Alligator mississippiensis: one gene and its partner. The protein of the gene in region 2 interacts with the protein of the main gene of each other region in a biochemical or structural test. Links are inferred from orthologs where the notes say so. Each region holds a gene or a part of one and is shown on either strand. Other genes may lie near its edges. The genes, in order: FLOT1 and SORBS1.

Region 1 (7,892 bases), on a different chromosome or scaffold from region 2:
AAGAATATATGAAAGGGTTGTGAATAAACTTTAAAATTGTTTTCTCTTTTAAAGGAGAAAAACGTGGGAAACTGTGGCTTTTCCCTTGCAGGCTGGCAGAGTTCCAGCCTATGTGGGGCTTCCCTTGCCCAACACCCTGCCCCACACACAGATAGCAGGGGACAGCAGGTTGGAAGTAAGGGGTACTGGGTCGGGTCTGGCCATTGATGTTTACAAATGGGTCCTGGTATGAAAAAGGTTGTGAGAACCACTGTTCTATGAGATGATGCGTCACCCCCTTCTGCACCTTCCATTTCTAAATCTGGTGTAGAAATGATTGAACTACTGGAGTCATTGTTGCAACTTGCAAGAAGGCTAGATGTTGTTTTATGAATCCAAATAAGAGATGTTCATTTAAGTAGAACAGCTACAGGGCCAAAGACACAAATGCATGCAGACAATTATGTCTGTTTTTTGCCTAGTTTGGTATGTTTTTTAAGCTTAATAGATAATCTAGCAAATAAGCACATATGGCATTAGTTATATTTGTTTCTACTTTGATTGGAACCTGAATGTTTGCCTACTTCGTTGCACTTCTTTTTAAACTTTATATATCATCTATCAGATTACTGCTAGGATCACATATAAACTAGTGCACACTCATAGAATCATAGAAAATTTGGGTTGGAAGGGACCTCAGGAGGACCTAGTTCACAACCCCCTGCTCATTCCAGGAGTTACATTTGTTTTTGCTTTGCTCCTACACTGAATTCTATAGCGCTGGCCCCTTAGCATATTCATGTAGCTTCTAGTTTCCCTTGGACAGAATAAAAATGTGTGTTGTATTCTAGCTGATGACGCACCATCTTAGCTGCCACCTCACTTTGCATTTCCAAATCCTAGATCTGCCCATGGACTTGCCCACAGGTCCCCTTCCTCCCCCGGGGGGGGGTGGGGGTGCGGCTGGGTGGACAAGCCCAGCTACCAAGTACCTGGTCATCATGGATGTCCTTGAGTGTGTAGCTGACCACGCTGATACCCATGTTCACCAGGTCAGAAGAGGCCACTTTGAAGACCTGCTCAGAGAACTTCTGTCGGTCCTTGTAGATCTCCTGGGTGAGGGGGGTCAGGGTGAGTCCTGAGGGGTGCCCCGATTTAAGACAGACAGATGGACACCTACCCAACCTCCTCCAGAGATGTGCAGACAGATGCACCCCCTGGCCCTCCCACCTAAGCTGGTCTTGGTCCCAGGGGCCCCTCCTTTCCCACAACCCCCCACGCAAGGAGGGACACATGGACACACACCTGATCTCCCCCCGACAGACGGACACCAGGGCAGACTGGGGGGCAGGGAGGGACCCGCACCCACCTCCACGGTCATGTGGGCCATGATGGCACGTTGATGCCCCTCCAGCGTTTCCAGTGCAATGTGGGTGATCTCACTCTCCGTCTTGCCCAGGAACATCTGGCAGGCGGCTGCCAGCATCTCCTTGTTCTGCCCCTGGATCTTCACCTGCGGCCCAGGGATGGAGCGGGGCAATCGAGGTCGGGCAGGGCAAGACCCAGCCCACTCGCAAAGGATGCTCTTGTGGGGGTAACTTCCCCTTTAAGAGGAAGAAGGGGCCACTTCTCTGGTTGCCAGGTGACAGCCAACAGGGGGAGGAATCTGGTGCCCTGGTACCCAGAGCTGGGAAGGAAGGTACCATGGGGGGGGGGAGGACATGGGAGGGGGTGCAGAAAGCACCATGAGGGGGAACTGGCCAGTACCACTTGGGGAGAAAGGGAGAAAGACCTGTCCTATACCACTGGGGGGTGGGGGTGGTAGGGTCAATGGGTGGTACCATGTGGAATGGAGGAAGGGGGGTGGGCAGTACCATGGGGGAATAGCAGGGAAATACCAATGTGGGGGGAAAATAGGGCAGCCCAGATGGTACCATTGTGGGAAACTGGGAGTGGGGGCTGGCTGGTACCATGAGAGGGAACAGCCAGTACCATTTGGGAGAAGAGAAGGACCTGGCCAGTACCACTAAGGGTAACTGGGGGGGGGGACAGAGTGGTGGAGGGAGTGGCCAGTACCATGAAGGAACATGCTGGGGGGTGTGCAGTACTATTTCAGGGAATGGGGTACTATGGGTGGTACCATTGTGGGACACTTTTGGGGAAAGATGACTGGTACCATGAGGGGGAAATGGACAGTACCACTTGAGGGGGGGAAGGAGAGAAGGACCTGGCCAGTACCACTGAGGGGACTGAACTGGGGGGAGGCAGTGGGTGGTACCATGGGGAGCATGGGGATGGGGAAAGTAGCCAGTGCCACATAGGGGAAAGCATAATGGGCCAGGGATAATGACCACAGGGGAATGAGCTGGGAGATGGGTTGGGGAGCACAGAAGTGAGTACCAATGGGGAGGGCAAGACGGCCAGTACCAAGGGGGGTGACAAGGAAGGGGGCCCAGTGGAAGGTACCACATGGGGGTAATGGGGGTGGGCTGAGGGAGAACTGCCAATACCACTGTCAGGAATGTGGAGGGGGGTCAGCAGGGGCAGTCCCATGGGGTATTGGGAGTAGGGGGTGGCTAGTACCATGGTGGGGGTGGGGGGAGGGTACTGGCCGTACCACTGAGGGAAGGGGGCAGGAGGGATCTCTCCCATCCCTATGGCGACCGGGGGGTTACCTGGGCGATGCCAGTGACAGAGATGGGGACCCCATGGCGGGTGTAGACCTTCTCGCTCTTCACGTTGAGGGTCAGCGTGTTCAGGGAGATCCTGCGAGGGTGGAGGCAGGGGGTCGGCAGAGGAGAGATTGCCCAATCCCTGGCACCCCTCCCCCCACTAGGGACCAGTTCAATGGGTCTTTCCAATTCAGCACCCCCCCAACCAAATCAATGGGCTCTAGACCCCCCCCCCGGAAGTACCCCTTCCTGGGACTCGCCTCTGGATCTGCTGTATGCAGGGCAGGACGAAGACCCGGCCCCCAGCCACCATCACAGGGGGGCTGCGGCAGAAGCCTGCGGCAAAGGGAGCAAAGGGTTAACAGCCACCTCGTGCCCAGATGCAGCTGGCTCTGGGGTGGGATAGTTGGGGACACCTACATAGATTGGCCCAAGGAGACCCCCAAGCTGGCAATGCAGCTAGCTCTGGGGTGGGACGGGAACAGCCACCCAGACCAGCCCAGGGAGCCCCCCTAGGCTGGGAAGCAGCAGCGTCTGAGGTGAAGCAGGTGGCAATGGCCACAAAGAATGGCTGAGAGGCTGGAGTTGCAGCTGGCTCTGGGGTGAAGCAGGAGACCACCACATATAACAGCATATGGAAGCAGCCAAGCTGGGATGCAACTGGTTCTAGGGTGGGGCAGGACAATGGCTGCACAGAACAGCCCAGGGACATCCCCCCTCCCCCCAATGCAGCTGGCTCTGGGGTAGGGCAGCTGGGGACAGCCACATAAAACAGCCCAGGGCCCGGGACGCAGCCGGCTCTGGGGTGCGACTCACCTGACACCACCATGGCCTCGTTGGGGCCGCAAGTGAAAAACATCGTGGCAGCAGCGGGGGCTGCGGGGAGAGACACAGGGGCATGGGACCCAGGCGGCCGGGCTCCCAGCCTCCCCACCCCTCCCCGAGAGCCCGGCGGATCGGGGGTCTCATCTGGCCGGTCACCGGGGCTCCCTCCCCCGCAATTACCCCGTGCCCGGGCCCGATCCCGATCCGCAGGCTCCTGCCGCCTTCCTGCCGCAGCCTCGCCCGGATCCGCCCCGCTCCCGGCAGCCCCCGCCCGAGCCCCTGCGGCGGCCTCCTGCTGCCGGGCGGGGGCTGCCCCCTGCTGGCGGCGGGGAGCGCTGCAGGGCCGGGCGGCGGGGGCGGGACGCTGCGGGGCGGGGGCGAGGGCCACCGGCTGGGCGGGGGAGGGGGAGGAGTCTAGGCCTAGAGCCCAGGAGGCCCCGCCCCCTTCTCCCGCCCCAGACAGCCCAAGTGCCCAGGCCCCGCCCCTCCCCACCCCGCCTGTTTCCCCAGCTCCATGGCAGGGCAGGGGTGGGTCCTGTGGTGCCCTTAGATGGAGAGCGGGGGGGTCCCCCCCCTTCCCACGGGCCTGGTGCCAGAAGCGGGGCCGGATGTGGCTGCGGGCACCGCTGGCGGCAGGTCCGGGAAGCCGGGCCCGGCCATGAACAAGAAGGGGGGAGGGGGGTGGCAAAGCAGCCTGGGAGGTGCCTATGCAGGGAACCCAGGCATCCGGGGCACACATGCATGCACGCACGCACGCACATACATGCCTCTGGGACCCGCACACAGAACGCAGGCGTCCAGCGCACAAACACGCACAGAACCCAGGTGTGTTGTGCACACACAATGAACCCAGGCACCCAGGAAACACATGCATGTGCCCATGCACATGCATGGAGTCCACGCTTCAACCCCCACCCCCCCCCACACACACACCCCACCCCCCCATCAGGCAGGAGAGATCTGTCTGCGGGACTGAGCAGGACATTTCAGTTCAACACCCCCAATCCCCCCTCAGCCCCGCAACTCCCAGAGAACCCAGGAGTCCCGCCCCTGCTCCCCACCTCCAGCTAGGCAAGGATGCCGTGTTCTCTGTGCAGAAAATAGCCCCTTATCAACACCGCCAAGGGCAGGGCCCAGCCGTGGCCTTGGCCAGGAATAGCTCTGAGAAAGTGGGATGGACAGATAGATTGAGATGGGGGTGGTCTTGGATGGACAGATGGACTCCTGGACTGGGCCGGGGGGGGAAATCAGGAGAGTGGGGTAAGGGGGAAGGAAGGAAAGAGACCGGGTGACAGATGGAGTGTGCATGGGGTGGGGAGGTACAGCATGGAGAGAGAGGGAAGGAAGGAAGGGACTACCGGGGATGGATGGAGGGGACTGGTGGCAGGGGGTGAATGTGTTGTGCCAGGAAGGAAGGAAGGAAGAGGATGTGGGGGTGGAGCAACGGATAGGCAGATGAAAGGAGATGTAGGTGGACAAATGAATCAGTGGGTGGATGGAGAGGTCCTGTGGGCATGGAGTGAGGGAAGAAGATGCAGGCATAGAACAATAGATGGAAAGGGAGAGGCAACAGGTGCAGGGAGCATGCGGTGGAGGGAAGGGAGGAGGTGCAGGGGGCAGTGGATGTGAGGACCCAATGGATGGAGGTGGGTGGATGGAGATGGGACTTCCCCATGGGTGCTGGGTCTGCCTATGACTACACAGCTCTGAGAACAGTGGTTGAGAAATCACCCCCACACCAGCCAGTACAGGGCAGCTTAGTCACAGGCCCACATGCGGGTAGGCAGCTTCACACCATGGCAGTGCATTACCCCCCCTCCCCCCCCAATCAGGTTCAAGGTCACTGGGATCAACTCTGATGTCATTGCTGGAGAGGACACAACTCCAGTCAAATAGCAGGATCCAGGCACTCGTCCCCTCGTCCCCGCTCTCATCCCCCATGCCCTGGGAACAGACACCCGGGCACCAGGCCCCACATACTCCTCACAAAGCTGAGCCAACCTGCTGCTCTGTTTTTTTTCTTCTGGTGCCCGCCCCCCCCCCCCCCCCCAAAAAAAATCACCCAGCCTTCTTTTTGGGGAGGTGGATTGGCCAGACAGTAGCCAATCCACTCCCCCACCTTCCCATCCTGCTCCTCCACTTTTAACACCCCTCCCCTCCCCCCACAGCTAAATTTGTCAGCAACTCTTGGATATCCAGCCAAAAGCTGAAGCCTTACATGCTGTGGGAAAATCCACTCTATGGGCCAACCTCATATTTCAAAAGCATTACTAGAAGACAGTCCTCAGGGTTGTGAAATAAGAGGAACTGGGGTGGGGGGGAGGGGGGAGAAGAGGGATGCAAATGGATCATCAAGATATGCTTACTTAGCAGCACATCAAGGTAATTAAGACATAAGGGGAGAGAGGGCTGTTAACACCTAGAGGAAAGAGGTTAGCAGGAGTCTAGTCAATTTTGCTGGGGAGCTGAATAGGAGTGCTACTGCTGCTCTTTTTGGGCAGCAAAAAAAAAAAAAAAAAAAAAAATCAGCTTCCCTCACTGAAGAGGGACACCTCAATAAGGGAAAGCCAATTCCTTTTTCCATGGTGGGGGCGTGTCAATACCTTAACTCATCTTCCCACTCTAACCCAACCCACCAGACTACCAGGAAGGCTCCACAACCACCCGATTGGCCAATCCTTTCCCTTCCCTCCTCCAAGACACCCAACAGGCATTGAGCTTTGCCCCTCCATGGGGTATCTTGGGGGTGGGGGGCATCTGACTCTTACCACTCCAATGACCCCCGACACAGGACAAGACAGGTCCCACAACATGTCACAGGCATGACTAGTCACATGGTTTTTATTCAGTTCCTTTAAGTTATCAAGAGACCCCTCCATAAATACACCATTATTACAATAAATATAATTTAAATAATTAATAACAATAACAATATTAAATAAATATTAATATTAATATTAATCATCCCAACACTGTCCACCAGCGACCCGCGCCGGGCCTGAATGTCAGTCTTCCCTGCTCTGGAGGCTTCAAGTTGCAGCTGACACTGGGTCCTTCAGAAGCAGCAGCTCCTAACGAGGCAGGGTTAACCCCTTAGCAGCCAGGGCCTGGAACCCCCTTGGGTGCCAGGCTGTCCCCCACAATCCCCTCACCAAGGCGGGCCAGGCCTTCAGAAGGCAGCTGGGTTGCAGGCCAGGAACTGGGAGATGTCTACAGTGGGGTCGTGGGGGCGGCAGGACCACGGCACAGCACTGGCAGGAGCCAGGGGATCTTCGTGGATGGGGGGGTCATACAAGGCCCCTCCGACCTCGCTGGGGCCCATGGGGAGGTCTTCATCGGCGCTGTAGATCTGGAAGAAGAGGATGGCCAAAAGCACGACCAGCAGGCGCTTGGCGAAGCAGCGCTCCTCCGGTGGGTAGTATCGCTTCACCTGGGAGGAAAGAGGAGAGAGCCACCAGGTTACTCACAATGTACTGCCACAAGGCTCACAAGGCACCCCAAATGCCTCACGTTACCCAGATTGCCTCATGCCCAGGCAAGAATACCTCATAACCAACCCAGTGATGGGACCGGCACCTACTGGTGCCACGGAGACTGCCTTGTGCCTCATAGCCCCAATCCCCGGCACCTTTACCCAGAATGCCCTGCACCTATGACAACCCAGAATGCCTTGTGCCAGCCCCAGCATGTCTCATGCTGCAGCAGGCCAGGAATGCCTCCTAAGCCATATCACTAGCACGTTACCCACAATGCTTTGCACCCAGCTAGGAGCCCCCTCAGGCCCCAGCCGAGGGACATTACCCAGAATGCCTGGCTCCCACCAGACTCCAAGCTCAGCACGGCCATTACCCAGAATGCTTCGCCCCCAACCTGGCCTGGCCCCACAGCACAGAAGGAGACTCCAGCTGTGCCCGGCCTATCGCGTGTCCTGTGCCCCACACTGCTTCCTAAGGGGCGAGTCACCAGCCCAGGCCACGTGCTGCCCCGTCATCTGGCCGGGCCAGGGCAGCAGTGGGGATTGGGGAGCCCAGGCGCTGGAGCCCCGGGGCAGGCTGGGATAAGCAGCAGCAGGTTGGAGCCGAGTCACCGGGGCCGAGTCACAGCCGGGGAGGGCGAAGGGGCGTCTCTGCTGCTCCTCCGCCTGCACTGGGGAAACTGAGGCACGGGGGTCCTGGCACGGGGCAAGACCCCCCAGAACCAGGAGCCCGGGCCCCGCCTCGAGTCCCCCACGGCCTCCCCGGCCAGGCCCTGCTGGGAGCCGGCCGTGCCCCCCCGGGGACCCAGGGGTCCTGCTGGCCCGGCTCCCCCCTTCCTCCAGGGACCCAGGCGTCCTGCCCCGCAGCGATCCCCATCTCCCCAGGCGTCCTCCCCACACCCCATCGTCCCAGCCACCCCCATCCCCCGCCGTCCTCGAAG
Region 2 (8,747 bases):
AGTCTATATATGGGAACATACTACATCCACCTGAAATGCTGCCAACTTTGGGGTGGTATCAGCAAATGAGCACATAGCAACAATGCGCAGGTCAGGGTACCTAATCTTAGGGAGGCTGTGAGGAGAATGTAATAACTAGAATTTCAATATGGTCAGAATTAATAAGAGGAAATGAAGTTAATGACTCCAGGTTTAGTACACCCTGTTCCTTCAAAAAGTATCATGGGATCCACAATTACCATAGGTGTTTGGTAGAGCTACGTGAAGCTTTGGTAGCCAATTCAATCTGGAGGAGATTCGGCCCTATTCAGCAGCCAAATCCCTGAATCCAGATCAAATTGGGAGACTCATTAAACACTCCGAATTGAATCGGAAGCCTCCAAATGGATTCAGAAAGATTCGGAGAGATTCGGAGATTTGGCCATAGACTGTACAGGCAGGCACTAGGCAGTGCTGGCAAAAGCAACTGGGGGAACAACCGGATGAGCCCTGGCTTGAGCCAGCAGCCCCAGGAAAAGATGCAGCTTGTCCCCTGGCTGGCCCCCCACTAGGATGAGGCAGGGCTGGCAGCCCCAGGAGAAGCTGCAGGGGCTGGGGGGAATAAATGGGGAGCTCAGAGGAATGGTCAGTAGCTGGGGGACTGAACTGGGAGCTGGGGGGAAGCCTCTGTTTGTTCCCCCAGCCCCTAATCATTTCCCCTAGCTCCCCAATCATTCCCCCCAGGCCCCACAGCTTCTCCCAGGGCTGCCGGCTCAAGCTGTGGCTCGTCCGCTGCTCCCCCACTGGAGTGAGGCAGGCAGTGCTGCCAGCCCCAGGAGAAGCCACAGGGGTTGGGAGGAATGATCAGGGGCTGGGGGAACAAATAGGGGCTTCCCCACAGCTCCCAGTTTGATCTCCCAGCTCCCCAGTCATTTCCCCCAGCCCCTGTGGCTTGTCCCAGGGCAGCCAGCACTGCCTGCCTCATCCCACTGGGGGGGGTGGGGGAAGCAGTCAGACAAACCATGCCTTTTCCCGGGGCTGCCGGCTCAAGCCAGGGCTTGTCCGACTGCTCCCCCAGCCGCTCCTACTGGCACTGCCTGCCTGTATAGTCTATGGCTGAATAGGATTCGGTGCTGAATATCTTCGGATTTGGCCAAATCAAAATCAGGACAGTGATTCGAATCACCTAATCGAATCACTGTCCCTCCGAATTGCCAAATCCAAATCTGAAATGAATACTTTCCATTTTGCACAGGCCTAGTGTTATTGGTTTTACATTTCAGCTCAGAGAAAATATGTGAGCTGTATACAATGGATTCATTTGGCCCAAGTTGGTTGGAATACATGTGCAATTTAGAGACTCTTGTACTATGCTTATGGCAATAGGCACCTTGAATTTGGGGGAATTTCTGATTTTGCAGAACATCTGTTCCAAATGAATGGACACAATCATGGCTGCAAATTCCAGAAACCCCAATTATTTGCAGTACTAAAGCCATGGAGTCATGCAGCTGGCCACAGAATTTTGATGCAACTCTCCAGAGACACAGACACATAATAAACTGCCTGTTTTCTACCCTGAATGGCACCCTATAAACACAATAGATTAGATAATCCCAAAAGTATCCATCAATCTCCTCATGATGTAACTTTGTGCAGTAAAACAATGTTGAAGGCAGCTTTCAAGTTATACAGCTACTAACAAATGAAGCAGTAAATAAATCTGAGTAAAACCATTTGTCATTGTCAAAATGTTAAGAAGAGATTGGCCTAAACTATAAAATTTATATACAGATAAAAACTCCCTTAAAACATGAGTGGGGAGGTTAAGATTTGCAGTGAGATGCATGAATAAAGCAGCTCTTTAATAATACTGCTACCTAGATTTAAACAAGCGGTGTCTCTAAGAATAGGACGTCACTGCACTGCAACATCTGATGATACCAAGCTCCCTAACTGTCTAAGATATGGGGAACACATTTCTGATCATGCACTAATCCCTGGTATCTCTGATCATACACTGTGAAAACTGTTAGCTACTAGTACTGAGTTTTTTTAATTGGGGACCAGTGTTAACAATTCACGTTTTTCTTCAAAGCACTGCACACAAATGTTCACAAATTCAGCAGCACATAAGGTAGGCATGTAAGCAATAAGGCAGCATCGTACAGCGATGGGAGATGCAGGCCCCAATTTTTAACTGCAGCTAAAATCAACTAAACTGGTACAGGATTGAGGGGAAGATAGGAACCAAATTCTAAGGGAATAATCTGGTCCTTTCCAGCATAAGCTAAAGAATAAAAGCAAACTCTTGAGATGCATGTACAGCTGTAACAACCTGTTGCAAAAGCCAAGTTTAACTAATGCACAGGGGTAACTCTAGATGTGCTCTCCTCTTCTGGGTCACATACTCTTATGCCACGGACTGCACAGAGGAGGTGTAGTGTAGTGTAGTCACTCTGCTGGGTCTGTTCCCCCGGGGGGGCTGGTTGTGCTGGCTTTATAGCCAGTACGATTGGCACAAACTCTAGCTGAACACAAATGAGTGGCCACAGTGACATGCCCAAAGGCACACAGCATGACAGAAGCACATCTGGGAACAGAATCAGAAGTCCTGACTCTTAATCCTAGGCTTCGTCCACTGGACGATGCTGGCTCTGATGTCATTTACAGACTAAAATTAAGACTGTAATTGCTATGCATGCACCCAGCGCTAGAAAGGCCCTAGGAAGAATATTTCACGTATAGATTGATCTGAAATGTTAAAAGGCAGAGGCCAAATTTGACCTCACATTCAAAGTGCCTTCAGGAATAGCAAAGCATTACCCTCAAAAACCACTCTTTAAATGCCCATTCTCTTCATTTTTCTAGTTTAATACCCACACTAGTTGAATTGCCCAAAAGAATTAATAAAAGAAAGATAGGATTCAAAACATTTGAGCATAAGATGCAAAATAAAACGGGCAAAAGCCCAGATTTGTGCCTATCACTCCAAATTCAGTGACAAGCCAGTATTAAAACCAATACACAAATTTTGCAAACTCCCCTTTTCCCTGGTACTCTGGTAGAAAGGAAGAAGAAATGGAGGTCAGGACTTGCCCATCTCCAGGAATGCAGGGCAATGTGAAACCCTTTCAAAAATACATGGATAACTCCTTTCTTCTAACTGATAGATGATCTGCAAAGTAATGAGTGTCACCCCAGCTGGTGCAAGCTAACACTGCACTCATCCAAGGCCAGTACCACACAAAGGCCTGGGAGGGCAAAGCACCAGAGGCATTTTGCTAGTCAGAAATCAGACAGTAGCATCCTTACCTTGGATCAGGCTTTTCAGTTAAAGGTGCCATTTTCTGGCACCTACCCGGTTTAACCAGAGGTGAGACGTGAAAGGGTTAACAAAGGCTTGCTCTGTGTTGCTCTGCTGCTTGGCTCACTGAAGTGTAAGGAGAAGTTTGGGGAGGCCTCACCCTCCCTGGCACCCTTAAATACTTTGCTCCTCCCACCTCTCTGCTTTAATTAGCCGGCTGGCTCTTAGTCATGTCATTCTGTCACCAGGCTTGCTCACAATCAACCGCCTCCTCCCAGCCTGCCTTGCATTCCTTTGCCTCTGACATCATGCATACATGGACTATTCCAGCAGATCTGATGCCTGGGCGGATACAGCATGGGGAGGGGGTGGGGGCAGGAGGGGGATGGAAGGTAAATGAGGGACAGACCTTTACAAAAATAGTTGGTGAAGCACATGGAGACTGCCGTGCGTGGGGAGGGGAGGGGGCAGGCAGCGTCTGCCTGTCGACGAGAACATTTTCATTACATTTTCATTAGCATGTGTCTACGGGAGCCAGAGATCCTGTTTCAATGACTAGGATCAGAGGAGCTGGCTTGTGTTCCCACTATTGGCAGACTGAGGTCTGTAGTATAAATACTTGATACACAGAGAAATCATGTGCTTGAGAGAGAAAGAAAGGCTCAGCTCCATGGGGATTCCTGTGAAATATATCAGGCAGAGGGAGCCATAGAGTCTGAGCTCACATTGGGGTGTCTAGGGAAGAGAAGGGTCTTTAGAAGAGGCTGGCTGAGCCAGGATTCCTTCTGGAGGGAGACGCACGATAGAGAAGGAGCAGTGTCAGCCTTTGGAAGAGGGCAGTGAGTACCTGTCTTGCGACAGCCTTGATCTGCCAGGTACTGAGGCCAGAGGGTAGGGCCACACCCCTCTTCTCTCTGAGCAGCAACTCTTCAAGTGTATGCACACAGGCAACAAAGAGCCCAGGAGGGCTGTCTTCCTATAAGTGACTTCTCCAAGGCCACCCAGAAGATCAGTGTCAAGCCAAACCTGGCAAATACGCTATGCCAGACTATGCATTCCAGTCCAGTGGTTTTCAGCCACTGACTCAGGCACCAGTGCTAATACTGCAGAAGAGACTGTCAAGTCCTGGTCTCCAGTAAGCCTCTGCTGTTCCTGCTCATCTCCCATTCAACTGCATAGGGTCAAACCTGCTACCCAAGCCCCGGTTTTAGGATCTGGAGAAATTTGGAGTGCGCAGGTCACCACATAATACAGCGTACACAAACTATGAAAAGGCAAGTGTCTCACAAGAGCCTGATACAGAGATTGGCCAAGAAAGGAACAGAAATGCAGCGAGTTGCAGGCTGTATGCATAGGTACATATACAACACTGGGCCTGTTTGAAATCTAGAGCCAGTTTCACAGTAACTAAAGCCTATTTCTATTTTCCAACCCATCTTTTGGAATTCCAATACCAACCTCCAGTCAAATGCAGCATTAAAGTATCGTCAGGGACACCTAAAGTCCTGGTCTAATAAATTGATTCATATATTTGAAGAGGTTAGGAAGCAGTTTTGGTCTACCCACGTACTTAGAATTGATTGCACATCTGAAGGTCAGTGTATCAATGTACTAAATGTGCGTCATCAGTTATTGCCAGTGTTAAAGGGGATTCCAATCTCAAAAATTCATATCTGGTTTCAAATGTGCAAATGGCAGAAGAAACAGCTTAGAGCTGGAATTTTGAGTGGATTTGGCTCACTGTGAAATTTGGATCTGGGCTCGTACACAACTTGAGCTCCATGCATGTTGGGATTCAGAAGTTAATTTAGGCATATTTTACAGTCAATCTAAAGGATCATGGAAAACACTTGTGTTCTGAGTAGTCAGCCCCTGCTGTGGCCCCTCTACAAAACAAACCCAACTGCACCAACAAAAGCAGGAAGACTGACCAAAACGAACACACAGTTTCCAAAATAAATGGTGCATCTGCTGGCAGTTCTGATTAGATTAACTGCACACTGTTTACATGTCCCTACAAGATAGGAGATCCACCAGAAGATATCTTGGTCCTCTTGTCCAAGTCTGTTTCTGGTGCCTAACCACGTGAGAATGCCTGTCAGCTACAAGGCCTCTCTGCCTGCTGTGTACCAAGGGTTTGTAAACAAGCCTCTGACAGTTTGTTTTCAGGTAATAAAAATGAACACCATTAAAATGTCAAGAGAGTACTCTGTGTAAAAATAACAGCAAGAGGAGTCATGAGTGACACAGAGACTAGATAGAGAGGAGCCAGGGAGGCAAGGCTTGGATCCAGAGCCAAGGTTCAGAGGAGTTCAGATAACAGGTTAGGCTGGATTTGGATTTCCTTGGTGTAGGATTTGCAGGGCCTCAAGCTAAGAGGTAATGAACCAGGTCTTCTGAATCGGGTGGGACCCCCAAAAGGGGAGAGAAACTTAAGCTGTGTACATTTTTCATCTGGAGTGCTGCTACCATATGCATTAAAGGACCAGGGATAGTGGGCTATGAGCTACTAAGGTTACTGCACTAGTCCAAGAAGCCACACGCTCTGCTGTGTTTAAAACCACCCCTGAAGATGAGGCGCAAAGCTTTGGAACAATGGCAGACATCTTGCAACAAAGCTGCAATAATAAAAACTAACCCTGTGGTAGCTTCAATTTAAAGTCCACTGGTGTAATTAAAGCGTGGGACAGCACCTCACCTTCTTTAATGTTGTTTGCCTTCCTAACATCCCATGCAGTAGGGAAGTGTATTATTAATATTATTATTACACATGAGGAACAGAAAGTCAAAGGGCATGTCAATGTTGCTTCTGTAGTAGTCTTAAAAAGTACCACCCAGAACCATGGCATTTCACACACACCAGTCTCAAAATGAGGCAGAGCCAGACAGATCTTGACAGCAGTGCTACAGGGCAGCTTCACTGCCTCATTTCCAGGTTTGACCTGTGCAAAGCAAAAGCAGAGAAGTGGCGCATGCTCTTCAGTAGCATAAACATGCCAGGAGTGACAGAGACTTGCTCAGAAGTTGCACAGAAAATCTTTGGCAGGCCCAGGATTTGTGAATGAATGGGTTTTGCTTCTAGTTCCAAACCAGGCAGAAAAGTTCACTACAGGAATAGCACCCTTCATACCACGATTGCCTTAGACAGCTACTCATGCATGACTCCCCTCAGCTGTATCACAGTTTCTTGTGCATGTGGTCCCTCAGTGTCAATGAAGGTACCAGGTCATTGTTTCAGAAGAGGAATTACAGAGTTCTGTGCCACAGTGGGGGCTTGGGAAAAACTGGTTCCTGAGATCTCAGGAGAAGATGTACTTGGGAAGGGGCAAATTGGCTTCTTCAGCAGGAAAAGAAGGGGAGCTGGTCCCTGACACTTCCAAAGTAGTGTAGAATGCTGTAAATTCAGTTCTATTCCTTTTGAATTCTTGGGGTTAAATCTCAGTGTTAAATTCAGTTACAGATATTGCTTTTGCTCAACTTCCACACAATACTATAAATAAGCAGAGACTCATTCAGTTATCTGCAAACCTCAGCAAGCCTTGTTTGTGTTTCTAGCTGGTTACCAAAAATCCACATGCATTCTGATTTCAATGTTTCCCAGAGCCCAAAGAGCAATCAGGGATGAGCCCAAATGGACCTTGCTGCTCCAAACTCCTGGATCTCTAAGGTAGCTCAGAACTGAGACTGAATTTTGGAGCCTGGTACAGCAAAACCCAGTCATGTGATGCTCAGAATTCTAAGGCTGGCACCCTGATATATCTGGTAGGCAGCTTACTGTAAAAGCGGTATGGCCCAAGAGGCAACTGCAGCATAGCACTGTTTGTGTCTTGTTCAGGTAGTCACTAGATGCCAAGCTTTTCACTCGCTGTGAAGAGATGGCCTCTGCTAGCCCTCTTTAATATGTTCCTAACCCCCCACCAACCTCCTCCCAACCCCAGACTTGTTCTTAGAAGCAAGAACTCCTGCCCCTATATCTACTCAAGGCAACTATGCAGGGTCAGCAGAGGTCAAGAGGTAGGCAAGTGGCCTCTTTACAGTAATCTGACCATTAATCCAGCAGGAAACCTGTAACCAGCTGACCGTCTGTGGGAAAGGGGAGCATAGGTCAGAGATAAGCTGGCAAAAAAGGCTCTTCCCCAAGTGACAGGGAAGGGAAACACACTTGTTTAGTCTCCTGGCTGCAATCTAAGGACTGAAAGCAGCACCCACTTTAGGAACCCAGGCAGAGAAGTACTTTAAACGGGTTATGTTTCCTGAATAGACATGGTACCTCAGGGAAGACGACAAGAATAGAGACTTAGTTAAATGATGGTAAATCCCACTGAAAAGAATGGGTGCTACACCAACCACGAAATACCTGGGCCCAGGCCTGCTGCCAGCTCCCACAAGGAGCCTGATTCACCCTCTGGCACGCTGTACTGTATAGTGGTAGTAAAACACAGTAATTGGGACAAGGTCATCTCCACCACCACCACCTTGTACAAGTGCAGGGCAGGGGAGGATCAAACACGCTGTACCCAATAACTCCTGGATGGCAAGAGAACTCCGGCTCTGTTACCCTCCTATAAAAGAATAACAAACACTGACCTTTTATAAACAGGATTAGATAATGACAAGCCAGACTGTAGCCTTCTCTTGCCAGCCTGCACCTACTTCACATAGAATCCCACTCATTTCACATAAGGTAATGATCACCAGCAGTGTGATGGACTGGAAACGGCCCTTACGGCTAGGGACAGACATTCAAAAAGCCTGAGCCTGAACTGATTCAAACTTTGTAGGTTACTTTAACTTGGCTAAGCTTAACCGGTTTCCAACCATACAGATAATCTCTCTGCACTAAGGAAACTCAGGCACATGCCTGCAGTGGCTTAGGCTGGAGCCCTGCCCTTCCACAGAGCTAAACTGAGGCCCCAGCAGGGCTCTGATTAGGGAGGGGTGTAAACCCCCACCATGCCTACAGTCCCAGCCTTTTCCCTGCTCACTGCTCAAAGGGGACAAGTGTTGCCAGCCTGCACTCTGAGGCAAGTCAGGGTGTGCAGTGTATGCATCTGCTGATGATACAGAGCTTTTCACTTTCCCTCCCTGCTTCTATATACTGTCTGCAGCAAACTGACAGGCAAGCAAGCCTGGGTGAGTGGGGAGCTGATAACAGTATTTATTACCCTTATCTCAGTGTTTATTGCCCCATTAAGAAAACAAAGAGAGGTTACCAGCTATCTGTTAATTCAGCACAGACCCAGCATGTGGTCTGCTGGCTAATACACAGACACCTCTCCCAAAGCAGAGGGGAGGGAGAAATCTGTGCTTCACAGAGAGTGGTGAGGGACAGAGAGGGGAGCAAGCAGCTCTTCTCATAAAACATTTCCAAGGAAGGACATTAAGCTACCTGTTGATCAGCTCCAAAACAACCTGTCTGCTTTTGTCTCTCCCATAGCACAGACTGTAGCCAGCATGTGGT

The links.
Region 1: the proteins of SORBS1 (region 2) and FLOT1 form a complex in vitro, tested with the Homo sapiens proteins (2 studies listed by BioGRID). The link is inferred for Alligator mississippiensis from reciprocal best matches to the Homo sapiens genes SORBS1 and FLOT1.

What each region holds. Positions count from the first base shown.
Region 1 is NC_081834.1:57,394,365-57,402,256, forward strand, and holds the start of FLOT1 (flotillin-1), read right to left. Parts: upstream 3,766-7,892; 5' UTR 3,657-3,765; intron 3,528-3,656; 5' UTR 3,511-3,527; coding exon 3,468-3,510; intron 2,988-3,467; coding exon 2,912-2,987; intron 2,746-2,911; coding exon 2,655-2,745; intron 1,493-2,654; coding exon 1,349-1,492; intron 1,092-1,348; coding exon 972-1,091; intron 1-971. Other genes in the region: IER3 (radiation-inducible immediate-early gene IEX-1), read right to left, coding at 6,646-6,906. UniProt on the Homo sapiens protein: May act as a scaffolding protein within caveolar membranes, functionally participating in formation of caveolae or caveolae-like vesicles.
Region 2 is NC_081829.1:24,745,458-24,754,204, forward strand, and holds the start of SORBS1 (sorbin and SH3 domain-containing protein 1), read right to left. Parts: upstream 3,422-8,747; 5' UTR 3,327-3,421; coding exon 3,295-3,326; intron 1-3,294. UniProt on the Homo sapiens protein: Plays a role in tyrosine phosphorylation of CBL by linking CBL to the insulin receptor. Required for insulin-stimulated glucose transport. Involved in formation of actin stress fibers and focal adhesions.